2 linked regions of the Macaca mulatta genome follow. Each later gene encodes a partner of the first gene's protein in a complex. Links are inferred from orthologs where the notes say so. Each region holds a gene or a part of one and is shown on either strand. Other genes may lie near its edges.

Region 1 (3,446 bases):
ATTCACACATGAACCCAATCACACACACACATACAACTGTAACACACGCACACACTCAGGAGAGTAAGACACATAGGCAACAAAATCCTTGCACTGGGAAGCCAGGAAAATTGGGCTGTAGGTCAGTGTGGACCAGCTTTGACATTAAGTTGCTGTGTGACCTTAGTCAAGTCACTCCCCATCTCTGTGCCTCATCTGTAAAACAAGAGCACTAAGGTCTCCTTTAAGGGATGGTGGAAGCAACTGAGAATTTGAGCAAGTCATCTAACTTCTCTGAACCTTGGGATTCTCCTCCAGAAAAGCATGGGTTTTTTTTGTTGTTGTTGTTTATTTGTTTTGTTGTTGTTTGTTTGTTTGTTTTTTAGCCAGGGTCTCTCTCTGTTGCCCAGGCTGGAGTGCAGTAGTGAATTCATGGCTCACTGAAGCCTCGACCTCCCTGGGGTCAGTCAATCCTCCCACCTCAGCCTCCTGAGTAGCTGGGACTACATGTGCACGCCACCATGCCTGGTTAGTTTTTGTATCTTTTTGTAGAGACAGAGTGTCACCATGTTGTGCAGGCTAGTTTCAAACTCCTGAGCACAAGCAATCTGCCCACCTCAGCCTCCCAAAGTGCTGGGATTACAGGTGTGAGCCACTGTGCCCAGTCAACAAGAGTAATTTTAATGCCCACTCCACCTATCTTGCAAATGAGATACCACGTTAGCTCATGGCTGGGAGAGAGAGAGGTAGAAGGCAGTTACAAGGCTGATAAATATCTGATAACATGTAGATCATGACACAAACACCAGAAGCAGGCAAATCATCCCCAGCCACATCTACAGGTGAACACCCCTACTTGGTTGGCTACATAGGAGGTGCTCTCATTTTGAAAAAGGCTCTCAGTGGTTTGGCTCTTGGCTTCTGTCAGAATGGGGCAGAGGTGAAAGAAAGCTCTCTGGACGGGGAGAGAGCTGGGGCCTTCCCCTGCAGCCTCGAAGTGACTGACTCCCTTGGTGAGGTTGCAGGGAATGACTTCTGGGTGTTCTCTCTAGATGACCGAGGTCCCGTGGTCAGGAAGCAGAGGTACGTGTTTGACATTAGTGCCCTGGAGAAGGATGGGCTGCTGGGGGCCGAGCTGCGGATCTTGCGGAAGAAACCCTCGGACACGGCCAAGTCAGCGGCCCCCGTAGGCGGGCGGGCTGCCCAGCTGAAGCTGTCCAGCTGCCCCAGCGGCCGGCAGCCGGCCGCCTTGCTGGATGTGCGCTCCGTGCCAGGCCTGGACGGATCTGGCTGGGAGGTGTTCGACATCTGGAAGCTCTTCCGAAACTTTAAGAACTCGGCCCAGCTGTGCCTGGAGCTGGAGGCCTGGGAACGGGGCCGGGCCGTCGACCTCCGTGGCCTGGGCTTCGACCGTGCCGCCCGGCAGGTCCACGAGAAGGCCCTGTTCCTGGTGTTTGGCCGCACCAAGAAACGGGACCTGTTCTTTAATGAGATTAAGGCCCGATCTGGCCAGGACGATAAGACAGTGTATGAGTACCTGTTCAGCCAGAGGCGAAAACGGCGGGCCCCACTGGCCACTCGCCAGGGCAAGCGACCCAGCAAGAACCTTAAGGCTCGGTGCAGTCGGAAGGCACTGCATGTCAACTTCAAGGACATGGGCTGGGACGACTGGATCATCGCACCCCTTGAGTACGAGGCTTTCCACTGCGAGGGGCTGTGCGAGTTCCCTTTGCGCTCCCACCTGGAGCCCACGAACCATGCAGTCATCCAGACCCTTATGAACTCCATGGACCCCGAGTCCACACCACCCACCTGCTGTGTGCCCACGCGGCTGAGTCCCATCAGCATCCTCTTCATTGACTCTGCCAACAACGTGGTGTATAAGCAGTATGAGGACATGGTCGTGGAGTCGTGTGGCTGCAGGTAGCAGCACTGGCCCTCTGTCTTCCTGGGTGGCACATCCCAAGAGCCCCTTCCTGCACTCCTGGAATCACAGAGGGGTCAGGAAGCTGTGGCAGGAGTATCTACACAGCTTGCATGAAAGTGGATTCCAATAAGCTTGCTCGCTCTCCGAGTGTGACTTGGGCTAAAGGCCCCCTTTTATCCACAAGTTCCCCTGGCTGAGGATTGCTGCCCGTCTGCTGATGTGACCAGTGGCAGGCCCAGGCCCAGGGAGACAGACTCTGAATGGGACTGAGTCCCAGGAGACAGTGTTTTCCAATGAGACTCAGCCCACCATTTCTCTTCACCTGGGCCTCCTCAGCCTCTGGACTCTCCTAAGCACCTCTCGGGAGAGCCACAGGTGCCACTGCCTCCTCAAGTCACATTTGTGCCTGGTGACTTCCTATCCCTGGGACAGATGAGAAGCTGACTGGGCAAGCGTGGGAGAGAAGAGGAGAGGGCTTGGACAGGGTTGAGGAGTGTGGGGCTGTTAGACTGTTAGATTTAAATGTATATTGATGAGATAAAAAGCAAAACTGTGCCTAAAACTGTGGCATATTTCTTGTTTACTCCAGGGGACCCAGTGACCCGTTGAAGAATTTCTGACCCAGGGAGGGGAGGTGGGTTGCTTCATGTATAAACTCAGTTTTCAGAGCCCCATCCCCACCCCCACTCCTGGAAACTGAAGCAGAATGGGACAGAGAGTACAGCTTAGCAGGGCCAGTGCTCACCTCTAACCCCATTCCTGTTCCTTCCAAAGGCCCCTGGGTCCCGAGCTCTATTTTCTCCATTAGGGCCTGGCAACAGAATTTTATTTTCTTCTTGACATTCCTTAGTCACGTTTGTTGTCTCCAAAATAGATCCCTAAAAGGGAGGGAAATTGGGGATTTCATTTCTTCTAAAATCATTCCTACATCATTCACCAATATCTGCCTGCCCCTGCCACCCCCATACTCACAGAATTACCTGGGCACCATTGAAAGAGTCCTCTATCTCTCCCCTGGGAAATCTGGGCTGCCAAGGCTCTCCTCCTCCCTGTTGGGGCATGTCCTCTCACCAGTAACCACTGCTCCTCACATGACCCTGTCTGTGGCTCTGTTGCCCTCCAGCTTGGCACCCTCACTGCTTACCCATCAGCCCCCAGCTCCAGAAACAGAATTGGAGCCCCCTGCCTTTATATTACACATTCTATAAATACATAATTATACATCAGATAAATAAACTCCCCGCTAACTCCTCCTCCTGTTGGGGCATGTCCTCTCACCAGTAACCACTGCTCCTCACATGACCCTGTCTGTGGCTCTGTTGCCCTCCAGCTTGGCACCCTCACTGCTTACCCATCAGCCCCCAGCTCCAGAAACAGAATTGGAGCCCCCTGCCTTTATATTACACATTCTATAAATACATAATTATACATCAGATAAATAAACTCCCCGCTAACCTCAGACAGACCAATGCCAGGCACATCCTGACAATGTTTCCTGCTTGGGGCTTGGCCCAGAGTAAATGCTCACTTCCTTTTCTCA
Region 2 (4,196 bases), on another chromosome or scaffold:
GCAGTCCCACCTACTTGGGAGGCTGAGGCAGGAGAACTGCTTGAGCCCAGAAGGTTGAGCCTGCAGTGAGCCATGATCACGCCACTGCACTCCAGCCTAGGCAACATAGCAAGACCCTGTCTCAAAAAAAAGTCTTTTGTGTGTATATCAGAGATTAAGATGGCTATTTTCTCTTTTTTACTTTCATTGTACATATTAAATTAATAAACAGTTAATGCCCTAAAATAATTCAAAGCCAGCTGTTAGAGATACCAAGAGGAATATAAGAGGACAGAGGAAAAGATACTTGTGCCCCCATTCTCTCAGAATTCACTACAAAACACTAAAGAAAAACAAGAAATGGAAACACTAACTCTATGTGTGGAGAAGCTAAGAGCTAAAGGTACCTGACTGAGCAGAGTCTCCACACAGGCCACGTGCCCCACGGAACCCTGAGGAGACTCAGGAGCTGGAGGTGCCAGTGTGGCAGAGGCAAGCCTATTCTGGGGGGTAGCTACACCTTCAGGCCCCTGTCTCTTCTTCCACAACTGGAGGAAAGGAGAGAGTTATTCTTTAGAGAAATTAAGCCAAAGAGGCCCTGGACTGGGAATGCCAAAAATGGCAAAGGATAGAGATGAGTATGGGAAGAAAACAAGGAAAGTAAATAAAAGTATGCTCACTGTTCACTGTGACCTCACCCCTCAGGTTCCCAGAACATTTGCAGCCTGGCAGACTGCCCCTTACCCCAGCCTCAACCCCAGCAGGAAACCGGGAAATCTTTCTCTAGAAAAAATGTGCAACCCTAAGGGGAAAGGTCTATAGACATGAAATAAGAGGGCTCGTCAGTGAAAAAGGCAGTTTATCCTCCAACCACCTTTTAGTGAGGCAAACTAGATTCCATGCCCTGCCCATGGATTAGGTACTCCCAGTCCGCTTTGGAGTACCTAAATTGTACAAAGGAATAGACAGCCAAGGGTCACCAGACACCTGAGAAAATGGAAACCATGCAAGGAGTAGAAGGAAAAAACTCAACAGCAACCACAAAACTGTGTAATTAAGAATTCCAGAAAGATAAGAAAAATATATTACATAAAGAACAAGAACAGTATGTTCCTTCAAAAAGGACAATCAGAGAAGGGCTCTTGGAAATTAAAAAAGGAAGTAAAAATTTAAAAAATTAATACAAGGGTGAAAAGGTTAGGAAATCTCTCAAGAAGTACACCCAAAATACAGGAAGACAGATAATGGGATAACTCATTTAATTAATTAGTGCTGACTTTATTATGCATCCCATGAATATATATCACTAATTCATTAGAGTGATTCTTAAAGTAAATACTGATTTCACTAGAAGGAGTGATAAAATCACATTAGGAAGATAAAGAGATAACAGAACTAAATGCATGTCTACCATAAGAGGAAGTCAACTGATAGTTTCTAACATCAAAGAATCAAGAGAGTAGTATAGGGTTATTATTCAGAATTCTGGAAGAAGTGCAATGCTGAAAAGTTGTAAGTGGTAGTCTCTGGGCATAGGATCAAAGGCTTGGAAAGAAGTGAGATGGGATTGTTTTAGTACTATGTGCCTTAAAAACTATATGCATATAGCCTATTTTGATAAAGGATAATGTAAAAAACATCAGTATGACTATATTCCTGTTCTGAAGGAGTTTATACTCAGTTGAAAAAAACATGCAAAACAACGATTATAGGAGCATGCAATAAATGATCTCTCAGAAGCACAGAGGATCGTCTATCTCAGTCAAATAAGGAAGGTTTCCAAGGAATGGGGATACTTGACCTGGGGTTTTAAAGGTTGAAAATGAGTTAACTGGTCAGAGAAGGGCTGACAGGTGTTTCTTCTGACACACGTAAGTTTTCTTTCTAACACACAAATGATAGCATTCTATAAACATAATTTTGAACCTGGCTTTTTTTACTTAACACATCTTGGGAATGTTTCTTCTTATAAAACCTACTTCTTATTAAAAACAAAATAGGCCGGGCGCGGTGGCTCAAGCCTGTAATCCCAGCACTTTGGGAGGCCGAGGCGGGTGGATCACGAGGTCAGGAGATCGAGACCATCCTGGCTAACATGGTGAAACCCCGTCTCTACTAAAAATACAAAAAAACTAGCCGGGCGTGGTGGCGGGCGCCTGTAGTCCCAGCTACTCGGAGGCTGAGGCGGGAGAATGGCGTGAACCCGGGAGGTAGAGCTTGCAGTGAGCCGAGATCGTGCCACTGCACTCCAGCCTGGGCGACAGAGTGAGACTCCGTCTCAAAAAAAATAAATAAATAAAATAAAAAATAAAATAAAATAAAATAAAATGCTGCTGCTTATAAAAAATTCAACAGTATAAAAACTTTCAAAATAAAAAGTTAAAAATTCTGCCTTGGCCCCCCACTCCTACTTCCCAAGGATAAGCATTTTTAAATACATGTATAGGTAAATACTACTGAATACAACTGAATGTAAAAATACAATGTTCTGTATGTTTACTGTATCTCCCACACATACTTGTTTATACATATAAACTACATTTATATTCCTCAAAGTCTCTTAAAAACAAGGATTCTGTGATAAGAAATATTAAGAAGTTTCCCTTGTATCAACTTACCGACACAGTCACAGCACTCGTCCCAAAGGGCCCCGAGACACAGCATGCACTCCTTACAGCAGGAGCAATTGCCTTCGCCCGGCCGGCACTGGCAGAGCTCCTAGAAACAAGGCAGATGTTAAACTTCAAATTCCAAATAACGATATAGAAAACTGTTACTTTTTAAGCAAAAAACCCTGCCATATTTGCATTTACAGTAATGTATTCTTGACATAATTTTTTATTCAACATTATTAACTATTCATCAGAACATAAATATCTACAATGTCACATAGATTTTTTTTTGGACACATTCAGTGAACATACTTTGAATGCTTTAACCATATTTTGAAATAAGGAAAATATTTTATTTTATAACCCATTACTTGACTACCCACACCACCTCAACGAATAATTCAGTACAAGAACCAAAACTGCTTCTCAGCTATTATACTCATTGCCCAAATTTAAACAAATAGCCAACTTGTAGGGTTTCTCAATATGTAAAATGTGAGTAAAAGAAATTCGGAAATTCTATTTTTACTGTTCCATGATACAGAAAACAGTGTGCTTGGTATGGTAGATTATTTACAAAGAAGGTGGCAATTATTTCCCTCTCTAGGTCTCCCCTCTTTGCAATGCAGCTTCACAGTTCCTCTGATCAAGGGACAGGGTCAATTTCTAGACCTCTTGAATTTAGGTGATCCTGAGATTCACTCTGGTCAACAGGGTTTGGTGGATATGACATTATGTCACTTCTGAGTTCAGGCCTCAAGAAGCCTTGAGTGCATCCACTGCTTCTCTTAGGACTTTGCCCAGCTGCCATGTGAAGCCAGGATATGGCCATGTGGACAAGTCAGTCCACCTGGGGCCATCCTAGATCAGCCAGCTTCCAATAAACCAGCAGCTGCCAACAGACACGGGAATAAGGCTAGAAAACCACCCAGCCGATCCAGGCTCAAACTGTCAACCCACAGAAACAAGAGCTAAATAAATGGCTATTGTTTTAACCCACTAAACGTTAGGGTGGTTTGTCACTCCACAAGAGCTAAGATAGCTTGCTCTGTACATGAAGTTCTAAAGTAATTCCTTTAGCACTTGCCCCTGCCCTCCCCTTGCCATCAGATTGCCACTCCTGAATAGACCCAACTGAAATGGAAATTCTGCAGCCACCACTGATTACTTGCTTTCCCTGGTTTAAGATACCACATATATTTATAAGAAAAACATTAATATTTTATTATTTTGGTGGAAATAACTTATGACAAAACTGATTTTACTCTCAGGCTTAGAAGGAATTTCACAGGTCAACAAAACCATCTTTCTATGTAACAGCTGAATCGCTTCTATAATGTTCCATCAACATATGGCCATTGCAGCCCACAGCTGACAAGGAATTTAATAACCCAAAATAGCCGGTCCCAATCTTATAAAGTTTTAAGTGTTTTGTTTTGTTGAACTGAAGCCCGATTCCCAGAAGCCAGGTCCTTAAGACCTCCCTCCTCCAAATATAATTTCTCTTCAACAAAGCCATTCTAATTTTTCATGGCACCTGCCCTGGACAGTTTGGAATGTCTGCCCTGCTTGGCTGCCGCCTGCCTTTGATTGCCAACCTGCCTG

The links. Proteins that work in one complex are often made in the same cells at the same time.
Region 2: the proteins of GDF5 (region 1) and TWSG1 are in contact, whole or in part, in a crystal structure (PDB 8BWL), measured with the Homo sapiens proteins. The link is inferred for Macaca mulatta from reciprocal best matches to the Homo sapiens genes GDF5 and TWSG1. Residues at the interface, in NP_000548.2 of Homo sapiens: Glu434, Phe435, Pro436, Ser439, His440, Glu442, Asn445, Val448, Ile449, Leu452, Ser455; in NP_065699.1 of Homo sapiens: Cys26, Lys28, Cys31, Ala32, Ser33, Val35, Ser36, Leu39, Ile40, Cys44, Gln45, Cys46, Arg47, Cys73, Val74.

Annotation. Positions count from the first base shown.
Region 1 is NC_133415.1:88,241,241-88,244,686, reverse strand, and holds the end of GDF5 (growth/differentiation factor 5), read left to right. Parts: intron 1-1,031; coding exon 1,032-1,906; 3' UTR 1,907-2,468; downstream 2,469-3,446. UniProt on the Homo sapiens protein: Growth factor involved in bone and cartilage formation. During cartilage development regulates differentiation of chondrogenic tissue through two pathways.
Region 2 is NC_133423.1:80,333,947-80,338,142, reverse strand, and holds part of TWSG1 (twisted gastrulation protein homolog 1 precursor), read right to left. Parts: intron 2,698-4,196; coding exon 2,598-2,697; intron 132-2,597; exon of another isoform or gene 1-131. UniProt on the Homo sapiens protein: May be involved in dorsoventral axis formation. Seems to antagonize BMP signaling by forming ternary complexes with CHRD and BMPs, thereby preventing BMPs from binding to their receptors.